Linked DNA regions of Drosophila melanogaster. The protein of the gene in region 2 interacts with the protein of the main gene of each other region in a pairwise test. Each region holds a gene or a part of one and is shown on either strand. Other genes may lie near its edges.

What was found. Proteins that work in one complex are often made in the same cells at the same time.
Region 1: the proteins of E(spl)m3-HLH (region 2) and ase interact in a two-hybrid assay, tested with the Drosophila melanogaster proteins (one study listed by BioGRID).

The regions. Positions count from the first base shown.
Region 1 is NC_004354.4:456,915-464,924, forward strand, and holds ase (asense), read left to right. Parts: upstream 1-3,832; 5' UTR 3,833-4,041; coding exon 4,042-5,502; 3' UTR 5,503-6,262; downstream 6,263-8,010. UniProt on the Drosophila melanogaster protein: Involved in the determination of the neuronal precursors of optic lobes in the central nervous system.
Region 2 is NT_033777.3:26,018,671-26,025,407, reverse strand, and holds E(spl)m3-HLH (enhancer of split m3, helix-loop-helix), read right to left. Parts: upstream 3,586-6,737; 5' UTR 3,389-3,585; coding exon 2,714-3,388; 3' UTR 2,281-2,713; downstream 1-2,280. Other genes in the region: E(spl)m4-BFM (enhancer of split m4, bearded family member), read left to right, coding at 915-1,373.

The DNA.
Region 1 (8,010 bases), on a different chromosome or scaffold from region 2:
AGAACTACACAAATTCAAGCCCATATGGATTGATTCACGAGTTCCACCCACAGGCTGAATTGCCGATTTTCAGGCAGCTTTTGCTGTTGGTCGAAAGTTACCAGCGATCCCTAACGCAAACACCCCTAATCCTGCCGGAACTTAATGCCCAGGACCTTCCTGTTGGCATTGTTTGCTGGCACAGGGGTTGCTCTAAAGGGAGCGAGACAGCAAGCGTAGAAAGAGATCTGAGTTCAATCGCAGAGCAGAAGAGACGAAGGGCAGAGCTGTTGAACGATTGCTGTGCAGCAGGAGCAGATGTTTTTCGCGGCAGAATGACGATGCAGGATCGCTGGCGATCAGCGACCCCAGCACGGGACACGATACATACGGAATATACGGAGCTCTATGTATATGAACATAACAAAGGGCATTAGAGCGGGAAGGGGCTAACGACAGGGAGCCAGAGCAAATGCGAGGGAGATCCACAAAACTTGTTTTTGGGATAAACTCAAATTAGACCAAGAAATCATTTAACGTGCAATAGAAATTTCGAGGTATGTACGAAAATGTAATGTTAAAAGGCCTGCCTTAGCTATAAAATATTTTCTCATTTTTAACGTATGCTTAAATGAACATACACCGCACATATGTACATATACTCTTAGCTTTTCCACTGTGTATTGCCTAAATTATAGTCCTCCCTTATGTACCCTTAAGCCTCGAGCGAAATATGTCCAGATTTGATCAGGATCGATACCGGATAAGATAGAAACAGCACCTAGCTCAAAAGAGAGGGGAGCAGTAGGGGAAGAGAGTAAGCGAGAAAGGAGATGAGAAAGGAAAAATGAGAAGCCAGGTGAGGGTGAGGATAATTTATTATTGCTCGGATACCCCCGAAAGCGCGCCAAAGGTCCCCGATACCCTAAAATCCAAAGACCATGCGTTTGGTCGAAGTGTCCCCGACACACAGAGAAAACTATACAACACGTACGCACTCTTCGACTGTTTAAAAATGGATTAATATAAGATGGTGTCCTTAGTTAATATAATAAATATATTACAAAAATATAAGTGTTTAAAAAATTTGAATAATGCTTGTAATATTAGATATCACTATAAAAGAAGAAAAGACGTGCCAATCCGGCTACAAAAAAAGATCCATTACAAGAACACGACGACGGAATGCGTATTTATTTCTTGCATGATTCACCACATTTATTTCAAGATGGTTTTTTTCTGTGTAGGATCTCAGGTAGAAGACACACAGACACTCACTCACATTTATGTAGAGCACAAGGCACGTGCGCGATCTGAAAACAATTTACCACTCCGATCAGCGTGAATTGTGAGTTTCACTTTAAAGTCGAATGCAGTTTTTAAATAGAAACTCGCTATTTCCCCATGTATTGTTTAAAAGAGGTATTAAAACAGCCCGCACCCGCTCATTTTTGCTGCAAGGACGGGACACAGTTTGCCGCTAAATAAATAGCAGAAATGATTCGGGAGTAACTCTTTTCCTTAATTTTTTGGCTAATTTTATTTAGTTTATAGTTAGAAAGAGTTACATATCTGTACACCGGTCACTTGTAACTCGTTCACGATCCGATGGGGGGAATATGTAATAATTAGAAGGCATCGTCACAAACATTTCCTTAAACAATGTCCCAAAAATGGTGTTCACCCGTAGAGCGAGTCCTTTTGTGTAGTTCTCGGCTGGGGTCCTTTCACTTTTCCCCCAGTGCTTGACTCCAAAGTTATTTCAAGGACTTCCACGGAAAGACTTCCGTTCCATCAAGTTTTCAACACTCATAACTCGAAAGACGAAATAATAATATGAAAAAACAAGAAGCGGTAAAACAATTTATGAACGAACAACTGTGCACAGATGCTAAATGATGAAGCATCCTAAAGGATCCACTTGAGTCAACGACGAGTACACACAGAATATGGGCCCAGGACATATTCACCCGGCGCCTTTCTCCGGTTACAAAATGGAAAAAGAAGAGGGAACTTAAATTTTGGAAAATCAAAGCGACTTGCATGCGTTGGCAGATTGATTTACGATTTTGGAGGGTCAAGCCAAATAGAACGACTTCAGGTTTCAGTAAATCATGGAGGATCCAGTATGTTTCCACGCTAGCGTCAATTCCGTTTACTCATCTGTTTCATTACCATTTGGCGTTTCTCTCGTCGAAAGATATTTTCCCATTGAAATCAATGCGTTTTTAAAATGCAAATAAACCAGAAACCAGAAACCATTCATAAATTGTATTTGCCTAGATTGGAACATTTCGATCCGCCAAAGATAACAGCCAAAAAAATATATAAAAAAAAGAGTGACAGGACTACAACGCAGGTTCTTAATTTTACGAACGTGGGAGTAAATTCGAAAAGGTATGCCGCGTCTTGGGGCAAAACTTTTTTGAAACCGTTTACATGTAATATTTTTGGAATCGCTACTTTTATGTATGGTTAATTTAATTATGAACTATTTTCTTGCAGTGCACGAAAGGCGTGGCTGGGGCAAGGAACAGTTCCTTGAGATGAGTGCTGCGATGCGTCGTCAAAGTGGGACGCAACCGAGTCAAATCCTCTAGGACAACAAAGGACGCCGAGCAGTACTTCCCAGTACTCAAATACTCCTCAGTACGCACAAGCGTTGACTCCTTTTTCTTTGAGAGCTCGTCTGCATAATGAGGAATGAGGACGTGGCATCCTGGATCAAAAACCGGTAGTCGGTCGTCGCAAGTTTCTTCTCCCCGCCGGTTATCCTGCGCTCAAGTCCTTTTCCTTGAACCTTTTAAGTGAACTCAAGTTTATAAATTGTGCAGCAAGTACAACACACACACATATGTATACTCCTCTATTTACTCAGGTTTGTTGGAAACTACCTGAGAGGAAGGATCAAAAAAGTTTATTGTAGCACTCGAAAACTTGTTTGCACAGATAGACCTAAGCTCCAAAAAAAAGAATAGATTATAGAAATAAAGCACTGGTAAAATTATTTTCCCACCGGACTAATTGCCAGAAATTTTTTGCCAGACGTAGAAAAAACAAGAATGTAGAGAAGGATGGGTGATTTCTCACCCCTTAAAGGATTTAAATTGGCTCTCTGGCATCTTGTCAATTTCCAACATAAATTGTAGCCCTGTGAATTACCTAAGACATTACTTTCGCAGTATATACTTGCTGTTTATTAGCTTAACAATAGGAAAATGTTTTTGCCAATGCAAGTCCTGGTAAATATATGTATATATTATCCAGTACGAGTTTTTGAAAAGTTAACAATAGGTGATCCCGAGACATTTTTCGAATGAAGTAGAAACCAGTCCTTGGTTTTAGCTATAAGCTAAAAATAAAGATTCGATGCATTTCTGCGTTTTACATGACGAATATTGGAGGTCTAAGGTGATCTATTAGGATATTTTGCAAATTCCTAGGTGGTAGGGCATTCCTTGAAAACCAGGGCTGAAAAAGCTCCCCAGGGAATATACTTTTTATTATATGCATACGTATATGGTTATTATAATGTCCATATATTAATAGGGGCGGTATATAAGCATAATGTGTTTGCTGCCGATAAATAATGAGAGAGAGCGTGGCGAAATCCACCCTTGAACCAGGTGGACTTTTTGGCTCGAGTTGATCAGATGTTAGTTTTCCCAAAAGCCGTACTGTATATAATATATATATATGATAAAGGTGTATGTGTGAGCGATCGAGAAGGGACACCCAGTCTAGGGGATGAAAAGTCAGGCCCTTTACATAAGGGATACGCAGGACCTCAAATGCCTTCTGTTTTGTATGTGTGTGCTCTGTGTTGTGTATGTCAGTCAACGAAGTCACTTCCGTTGGGTTTGCGTTTTAGTTTGAGTTCGGAGTTTAGGGGCACGCGACACAGAGCGCCAGCAGCTGTCCTGATGCAAGGACACGGAAACCATATTACATCAGTCACCAGTTAACATTCACTCAAGAAGGACTAACTTGCTAAAAGTACACCCGCAATCGCCACCAGTTTTTCTCCCGCCCTCAAAAAGCCACGAATCAAAAAACTTAATTATGGCCGCCTTAAGCTTCAGCCCATCACCTCCTCCAAAAGAAAACCCCAAGGAAAACCCCAATCCAGGAATAAAAACCACGTTGAAACCTTTTGGAAAGATTACCGTTCACAATGTTTTAAGTGAGAGTGGCGCCAACGCCTTGCAACAGCATATAGCCAATCAGAACACCATTATTCGAAAGATCCGGGACTTTGGCATGCTGGGCGCTGTTCAAAGTGCCGCAGCCAGCACAACTAACACCACACCCATATCCAGTCAACGGAAGAGGCCCCTGGGAGAATCCCAAAAGCAGAACCGGCACAACCAGCAGAATCAACAGCTTAGTAAAACATCAGTGCCTGCTAAAAAATGCAAGACCAACAAGAAGTTGGCGGTTGAAAGGCCCCCAAAAGCAGGAACTATAAGCCACCCTCATAAAAGCCAAAGCGATCAGAGTTTTGGGACTCCTGGAAGAAAGGGTTTGCCTTTGCCACAAGCCGTTGCCCGTAGAAACGCTAGGGAAAGAAATCGCGTGAAGCAGGTTAACAATGGATTTGCTTTACTCCGGGAGAAGATCCCAGAAGAAGTATCTGAGGCTTTTGAGGCCCAGGGGGCGGGTAGAGGAGCAAGCAAGAAGCTATCCAAAGTGGAGACCCTCCGCATGGCCGTAGAGTACATAAGAAGTTTGGAAAAACTGCTGGGATTTGATTTTCCACCTCTCAACAGTCAGGGGAATAGTTCTGGTTCCGGCGATGATAGCTTTATGTTTATTAAGGACGAATTCGATTGTCTGGATGAACATTTCGACGACTCGCTGAGCAACTACGAAATGGATGAGCAACAGACTGTCCAACAAACTTTATCCGAGGATATGCTAAACCCTCCGCAAGCCAGTGATCTCCTGCCTAGTTTGACTACATTAAATGGGTTGCAATACATCAGAATACCAGGAACCAACACCTACCAACTGCTGACGACTGACTTATTGGGCGATTTGAGTCACGAGCAAAAACTTGAAGAAACAGCTGCTTCGGGCCAGTTATCGCGATCGCCCGTGCCACAAAAGGTGGTAAGAAGTCCCTGCTCTTCTCCAGTTTCACCTGTCGCCTCGACTGAATTGCTGTTACAGACACAGACGTGTGCCACACCGCTGCAACAGCAAGTAATCAAACAGGAATACGTCAGTACCAACATTAGCAGCAGCAGCAACGCACAGACTTCCCCGCAGCAGCAGCAGCAAGTTCAGAACCTGGGATCGTCGCCTATTTTACCCGCGTTCTACGACCAGGAGCCCGTGAGCTTCTACGACAACGTAGTCCTTCCCGGATTCAAGAAGGAATTCAGCGATATTTTGCAGCAAGATCAGCCCAACAATACAACCGCTGGCTGCCTTTCGGACGAGAGCATGATCGATGCCATTGACTGGTGGGAGGCACATGCACCTAAATCTAATGGTGCATGCACCAATCTGTCCGTTTAGCCGAATTTTTTCACATCACGCATCTCGGAAAAGCCGATTGCATTTTTTGGCATACTTTTTAAATGATTTTAAATCCTCACAGCATAAGTCTGTGGCAGGCCATTCTATCTAAAGTTTTTTTTAATCAAGCCATGACTGAGTCATTGTGTAAATATCAATTTAAGCCGAGAAAGGAGGATAACTTCGGCCAGCCGAAGCTTATATACCTTTGCTGTTAAAACCATGTATTTAATATGAAAGTTCGCACAATTTCGATGAAGTTTATCACAAATTTACGATTTCATCAAGATTTGTATATTCTCCAAATTCTATAAAATATATGTACATTTTTGATTCTTGCTATGGTACTTGTACGTATGATATTGTTGATCGATCCTGCCCGAGTCACCTTTTATATCACCAGACATGCCGATCATGAATATTTATTGATGTGGGGTCGGAAATGCCTCACTGCTACCTTCAGACATATTATAATATCCTCTGAAAGAGTGTGACAAAATGAATGTATGAACACTACATATTTAAAGTCATCTAGTGATATAAACCAAATGGAAATAACCTTGTAAGACCCAACCACAAAATAGTTATCCTGATAAACGGCTTAATGTTGAGCCGGACTAACAGAGTGTCTAGTATATAACAAAAATTAATGTATTTGTGTAACCATATTTTTTTTTTATAGATTTAATTGTAGGAACGTTAAAATGACAAGCAGATAATATATGCTTTTGAATAAATGCAAATAAATATGAACATTTCCAAAAACTTAATTTGTTTCTTGTGGTTTTATTTCTCAACGAAAATTAGGTATATTAAATGACAATTTATAATTTGTACCACATTTTAGAAAAAAAGGTGTTTTATATTTTAGAGAGTGTCTTATGGCACAGTATATCTCCGGTGCTTTATTGACTCGATATTCAAAATGGGGTTCCTTCTGTGACAGAATGACAGAATTCGGATTTTTTTCTAGCGGTTCTTTTTTAAACATGTGCCTTGATTCATAATGACACAAGTAATTAAAAACGCACCAAAATAAATATTAGGGAAATTGAGAGAAAGCGGTTTTAGGGTGAACTATTATTTAGGACCTAACCGGCAACCGCAAATCAAACGAATTGCTTTTAAAAATAGAGTCTAGTCTGTCTGTCCTCATAGAAGTCAAGAAGTGAAAAGCCAAAACAGCTTGAAATTCCAATAGCGGCTACAAACTTGAAGTTGTTTTAAAACCTTGTCATGCTCACCACACAGACCCTCATTAACATTTGGAAAATATTTTCAATGATATTTAAGGGAATGGTAATATATTTTTTTATACAAAGTTGCCAAGCCTTCACGCACGTCTTTTATTTTGCACGATATTTACTCACCCTCACTTTTACTTGGCGCTATACTCTCCTGCCAATTGTGCTCAGGACTTCATTGTCCTGTGCTTACGTGTTCTCATGTCTCTCTACCCGTCCCTTTTTTTGGGACATCTGCCCAAATAAAACAAAACGGAAGAAAAACCAAAAAAAAAAAAAAATAAGAAAGGGCCGGTCCAATGGATATGGATGATGCAAAACTACATAAGACAGGCATACTGTAAGGAAAATCAATTGAAATCGTTTTCCATTAAGAATAGATGGCCTGTGCCAAATGATATTCGCATCTGCAGGATCCGAAAACCAAAGAAATCTAAGTAGTACACTGAGGAAACAACACGATCTATTTTGAGGTCGAAATTACAAGGCGAGGCATTTTTTCCTCCATTACTATTTTTTTTTTTTCGCTGTGTATATGTATGTGTTGGCGCGCTCCTGAGCGCCTGAGATCGCCTGCAACCCCCTTTTTCAACAGTTTTCAGTTTTTCCATCCAGGTGCAAAGGTGTTTTCCTATCATTCTTTTTTTGGTCGTGTGGTGGGTGCGCCGTTCACCGTTAGCAGTGAAAATTGTTCACGCACCGTTATAATTATTAAATATTGGTAATGCGACACGCCCCTCAACCGTACACCTCCGAGTTTGGGTCGAATTTCGCATTTTTACTGTTTGAACTGGGAAATCATTGCCGTTATGTGCGTCTTTTTGTTGTTTGTGTTTTTGGTGAATGTTAAAGGCTTAGCACCGATAAGGAATATGAGCCCTATCGTATCCTTCGATCGGCAGATTTGCTTTCGTAGCTCTGGGTGCTGCAGTCGCTTTAAGTTGTGCCCCCATTATGCCATTTAGACCACGCCTCTATGAATGCATTATTACTGAATGCCGTCTGTTTTTAAGTTCACTTTAGCGTGTGCGCATGCTCTTGCCGCTGACTTGATTGGATTCACCCCTACTTCTCTGATCCACTGACTATCCAATTTCTGGGCACATTGCACTGCAGTTATCCCGGGAACCAGATGCTGCCTTTGACCCGCCGAATCCGAGTTGGCTCGATGGATCTCGTAATTGAGATAGGTGACACGAAAAAAAAAATAATTTCTTCGAATTTTAAATCTTTAATAATTTTTGGAAAACCATGTCATCTAGCA
Region 2 (6,737 bases):
CATAATACGAATCGGTCCCCTGCTAATTGTGTGCCATCAGCAACAGAAATTAAAAGCAACTCCTTCGTCGACGATCCTTGTCCTCCAGCTCCTTTGCCATCTCGCTCCTTCGGGCAACGCCTCGCCTCCACATACAATTTGATAAATTTCAAATTACAGCGCATTAAATGCTCGCAGTTAAGGATTCCTGGTCCCTCGTCTGGGATCTGTGTGCCCCCTACTCCATCAAATTCTACGGATTGTTTGCCTATTGAGCTATTTTATCTTCTGGTTTCGGGCATTAATTGTTCGCCTCCGTTCGAGCGTTGAAAATTGAAAATATTCTCCCACGTTCTCGAGCTGCACACGTGTTCGAGAAATGGAAAACGGATTTCCCCCGCCCCCCGGCTCCATCATTGTCCGTCCCGCTCGCACTGCCTACATAATGAGATAAGTGCACATAAAAACCAAAAGTGATCGGCAGAAAAAGGGAAAAAAACGAATCTCCTTGTCAAAAAGGATCCTTTCGAACCGAAACTGTGGGAACTGGTAGAAAGTCTCGTTTCTCACGATCCTGCAGCAGGATAAAATTGCCCGCACCTTCAACAGGTGCGAGCGGAGCGACACTACATGCCGTCACACTCCGACGCACGCAGGTTAATGCCGATGCAGTCCCTTTTCGAAAAACACACCTGCCGTTTTTGTTGTTGCCTCGCCATGTATCCGCACTGTGTATAGGATTTTTCGGGACACGTATCCTTGTAGTTTCCCACACTCGGTGTTTTGTGACCTGCTCGGCTTCGGGTTTCTCCACGTCCTGGCGAGTATAAAAGGACCCTGGCTCGGAGGATCAGGCATCATTCGAGCTCAACGCTTCGTACAGTACACATCTCAGCTACACAGCAGCTAAACACAAAATTCCAAAACACATCATCATGTGCCAGAACAAGATCAACACCAACAACACCATGACCATCAAATCGAACAAGAAGCTGTCCTACAGCGTGAAGAAACTGCTGCAGAAGATCTTCAAGCAGCAACAGCGCGTCGAGGAGGAGCAGAACCTCAAGAACGCCCTCAAGGCCAACTCTTTGGAGTCTCTGGAATCCATGGAAAACAGCCGCAACGCCGATCTGGAATCCGCCTCCATCTGCGCCTCTCTGGAGTCCTGCGAGAACGAGGCCAACGAGCGTCTCTCCCAGTCCTGCGAAATTGAGGACTACGACTTCGAGCAACTGCCCACCGTTCCCGTTCACTTCGTCCGCACCGCTCACGGCACATTCTTCTGGACCGCCGTCTCCGATTTGCCAGCCGACAACGACCTCGTCGAGCCCCTCTACTGCAGCACCTCCAACGCCATCGCTATCCCCCAGGATCGTTGGGTTCAGGCCTAAAAAATATCAGCGTCCTGCAACCTGCATCCATCATCCGGCAACTATGTCTTCCATTGGATCTCCAGCTTTAATCAACGTCTTCCGTTAATTTTTGAAACCATTCCACAAAAATTAACACGCAAGCCGATCAACTCAACTGAAGAGCTTTACAAAAATTGTGATACATTTTACTTAACAAACACAAAAAAATCAAAATATATATACAATTTAAATGAAATCAACCACTGTTTTTTTTACTTTTAATCATTGATAAATCGTATGAAATGGGCCTTCTCTTAAATCACACATTTGGAAATTGGTAATCTTTACCAAAAATTGTGTTACATTTCACCCAAAAAAAAAATAATTGAATAGGAATCTAAATTCTTTGTTTCCCCCTTATTGTTCCAACAATTTTCCGTTTACAAATCAACACAGAAAATAAATGGGGAGCGAAGTCCTTTCTTAATTGGCATGACTCATTTGAAAAACGAGCGGACCCTAATCCGATTCGATCCTGAACCTTTTTTGGTCTTATTGTTGATCAATTTACCTGCCAGCAGGTAGTGCATATTGACGGTTGTTGTTTGGCCTGTTGATTTGGACCACAATGCCAACCAGTTATCGGGCAGGTAGAGAGGATCTGTTGATTGCCGATCAGATTGGTGGTAAGAACAGGCTCCAATTAGATGATCTGCTTATGGGAATGAATCAGGGTCGAGTCGAAAATGTGTTGCATACATTTGAGGTGATGTTCAATTAAAGGTAATTTATTGGGGCAGTAAACAACATTGGCGGACTGGGACAAGAATGAACAGTATTCCGTTAGGTTTGCATAATATCGTTCAGTTTGTTTATATTTATTAATATAACAAAATAAATATTTTATAAAATTTTGAAATCCCGCAAAAGAAAAACATTGTGTTTTCAATTTAAATCATTTATTTTATTTGGGTAGTGTATTTTTGATTATTCTTTCTCAACTAATCATAAATTAACATTTATAAATTATTTAAAGCTTAATATATGCTAAACAATAAAGAGAGCGCAACGAGATATTAAACTTAGGGAACTTTTGGAGTAGGAAAATAGCGCACTCGAATATATATTCACTGATTGATTGATCAACGTACTTTAGTTATATCACAGTTGAAATTAAACAATTAATTTACAAATTACCATTATCGGAACTAAAACTAAAAGTATTTCAAAACCATTCAGAAATCGATTAGACCTCAATTAACTTAGGTTGATATGATTTACTTTGGAAGACAACGGATCTTGTTGCAGAACGGTCAATAGCCATTTTTTTGGGTTGCGATTATAATATTAGGGATAAGATCCATATTGGGCACGCCCAATTACCAGGGCCTCCAGACGGGCTCAGAGGCGCCGGACTCCTGCGAGCTAACCGACGCCGTCTCGGATAACGCATTGCCATCGACGGATGTCACATCGATCAGTTCGTCCTTGCTGGTCAGGAAGGAGCTGTAACTAATGGCGGCAGCGGCGGCTGCCGGTCCATATCCTCCCAGCAGCGGGAAGGCTAGGCGGCCTGATGATTGCGGTATTTGCTGCTGCTGGTGTTGTTGCTGTTGCTGCTGCTGCTGGAGCAACTGCGTCTGCAGCTCAATTAGTCGCGTCGATAGGAATTTCATTATCTTGCGCCCAATCTCATCGGTTTGCTGTGTCTGCAGCAGGACCTGGGTAATCTGATCGGCAGCATGCACATAGCCGGAGCGAAAGGACTCCACGTGGGCGGTACTGGTTGAGGTGGGTGGGCTGCCAACACCAGCCACTACTCCCTGCAGCGAAAGACCACCCCGCTGCTTGAGTTTCCTCATGTGATCCACGGTCAACTCCAGGATATCCGCCTTCTCCAGCCGGGTGACGTGCTCGCCCTCCTGCTGCAGGCACTCCACCATCAGATCCTTGAGATCGTCCAGACACTTGTTGATCCTGGCTCGCCGTTTGCGCTCCAGCAGCGGCTTCATCACCTTGCGGTACTGATACGTCTTGGACATCTCCATGACCATGATCGATTGGGTTGTTTTATGTTGTGTATTTTAAGGATTGTTCTTTTGTATTTAGTCTCTCAACTGCACATTATCACTACTGATTTTGGTTGGTTTCATAGATTGGTTACTTTTTGACGAGTTTGTTGCGCGTGCGTTGCGCGTTCCACCGATTGCGGTGCGTTCGAGTGGCGGCACTTTTACGAAATGAGTGGCAAACTAGTTCCCAGCCCTACTTTTATATGACAGCCACGCTCTCCCGGCAAACGGGGATCAGGCTCTCCCGGCCACAAAGCTCCCGCATGATCACTCACACACGCTCCCAGGCACTCGGGCCCAAGATCGAGTTCCACTTCGGTTCTTTTCGGTCGCGGATCGGTAGCGGCGCTCGGCAGCGGCACAAAGAGAGGCTACTGTAGGCCATCGATGATGGGGGTTGTACCGTCTGCAGGGGGTACAGTGGGACCATCACCATGGAACTCTTTACCTTCTTAATTATGCTTATTATAAAAAATAAGAAATAATCCATTTTAGCAATGCGAATATAATATCAATATTTTTCATTTCCAATAGTGTTAAATTTGTGTTCTTTATATTTTGCTACAACTATTTTTTATATGACTCTCAAAAGTATGCAACATAATTGTTCAACCAAAAGGACGATTTAAAAATTTGCTAAATTTTAAGACCTGAAAGAAAGCAATTTCAAAAAATATTAATCACTTACAAAGTTAATAAAACTGCAATTATTTTCGTAAAATCTGCTTATTGAAAGTAATACTATTAGTCCAAAATTAGTATTATTAACCGAAACTAGTCGACTTCGAACCAAGGTGCATGCAATGGGAGCGAGCGAGAGCGTGCCCCGCCGCAGATACAAATGTATCTGTATCTGCAGCTTTGGTGCTCTGGCGCGCGTCGTCTTCAATTGATTGCATGGCCAGAGGGAAACTGAGCAGTCGGCAGTCGACAGTCGGCTTTCGGATTGGATCTCATTCTCGGCGACTGCGCGTGTCTCTCAGGCCGCTCCACCCCGCCCTCCATCCCCCCTCATCCATGTCATACTTATTGTCAATGATGACAGTGCTCGGCTCCCATTCGCTGTCGAAGTCCGCTGCTCCGTACCGCTCACACCAACAATGAGAATGAGACACGAGGGAGCCTACGAGGCAGTAGCCTATGTGATTGTGGGTCCCATGGCTCAGTGGATGGGGATGGGTGTTTGTGTGTGTGTGCGGTGTGCCTACTTTACGAGACCGTGGGAAACAGATTTGTCGTGTGTTTCCCACACGTTGGACGGATGGCTGGATTGTGATGCGATCCGATGGATTGCTGAAATGTTGTTGCTGTTGCTGCTGGTTGATTTCAAGCGGGTTGACTGTCAGCCGCCAATGGGGGGCAGTGGGCGAACTGGTGAGGGATGGCTGGGTGGAGGGGCAGCCTTAACTCGCGCAATTATGTCGCATGCTTGGCTGATGATGATGACTGCGACAACTGCACGTGGACAAAATGTGCGGTCTTTTTGGGAGTTTAAAGTAGATTTGAAACAATTTCAATAACAGCAACTATGTTAATTACCAATAAATATAGATCACCCCATTTCGGAAGAATGGAAAATATATATATTTTGATATTTTACTTATAACCGAATTCAAATGTAATCAGTTTTTTTTTTTAAGTTTTCAAATATTTCTCACAGTGCACAACCACCACTATGGCTGGGGCTGTGGGTTGACTTTTCGTTGAAGCGTATCGATTAAGTGTAACAGTTTCGCTATCTCGGCGCATTGGGGGTTCCAAAATGAAAGAAATAAAACTCTTTTTGCATAGTCCGATTACCAACCCTTCGGCATTTGTCGCCTTTCGTAATAAACTTTAACATCCGGTTGTCGTTCTAAGATTCGTTTTTCGCCCGTCCTCCACATATTTCTTTTAATTCGCTGATCTCAGGGCTACTGGTCAGCACTGAGTGTATAAAATGTTGCCTGTTTTTTATGCCCCTTTTTTCACAGCTGCTGTTGGGCCGACTTTATCACCATCGCAGCAATATGACACTTGTGGTTGGACGCCTCGGAGTTATTTTTTGTGGCCGTGCTTTTTGCCTGGCTAAGCATTTCCCATGATGCTGCAGAATCGCTCTGTTTGTTTGTCTTCTGGCCATGACTTCCGTTAGCCGTTTGGCTTGACTTGGCTTGCCTTTCTGCTGACTGGAGCCATAACAATTAAGACTCTCAAGGCATTTCGATGGTTCGCCTTTCAAGATGCCTCAACTTTCAACTCGACCGGCACACGTGGCGTATGAGTAATGCGAATATGCAAAATAATCACGCAGACACCGATGGACAGAAATAGAGAGACCGCAAAACCATTTTCGACTAACCTCAATGCACACTAATTGCTTGTCATATATGCCCGTCTGTTTGTCTGCCGATGTATATATAGTTTTGCACAAAACTTGTTGCCATCGCCAGTCGTGTGAACCAAAAGCTTAAAAGCCAAATAGTTGCTGATGGGTAAAGGCAGTCTTGACGGGTCATCGATTAGCGAATTGCCAATGCTCTTGAGAGATATAATAAATTACATTAAGTCCCCATTAAGATAACTAGTACTAGTCTGTAAATTAAAAAATTTTAAGTAAACATATGATATTTAATATTAATATTATAACAGCAGTTTCCTAGCATATCATGAAAGTCATATCTTCCTGAATCTATGTTCATATGTCCCAAAGACCCATATAAGAGAGAGTATGAATCGCCTAACGACTACCAGAGTCCGTTGCTGAAAGGCACAAGCCCAGGCACAAGCTGGCCTCTGTTGGAGCTGCAATCGCAATCGCAGTTGGAGTCGGTGCTGGCTTGGAAGTCGCGCTACGAGTTGGAGTCTCAGCCGGTGTCCGTGTTGCCAAGTCAGTCGCTTTCAATTTGGCAAACGTGCAGTTCAAAGCCTAGACGCTGATTGGGGGCAAAAGTGCGCGGGCTGGTGGGGTAAGGGAAGTGCTGGTGGTGTTTCAGCCAAGATTAATAGCGGCCAAAGGCAACAGAGTCAAGTCGCGTCGAGAGATCTCTGGTGCGCAAGCGTGCGGTGCACACGCGATTGGCACGAGTTTCGGGCACAAAATATATATATGAAGAAAATTAAAACCCGATTCGTAGCTGAGCTGGCCTAACTAGTTATGGCAGCTAACTCCGATTGTTGTGCAGTGTGGGAACCTGCGATCCGGCAAGGACTTGCTGCCTGAATGAGGTCACGGCCTCATTAGATCCCCCATACCGATGGCCATGCCCATTGCCATGGCATACCCATACTTATGCCATCCGATTCCCATCCCGTTTTCCGTTCCCAGTTCGGAGCGTGTGAACCACAACAT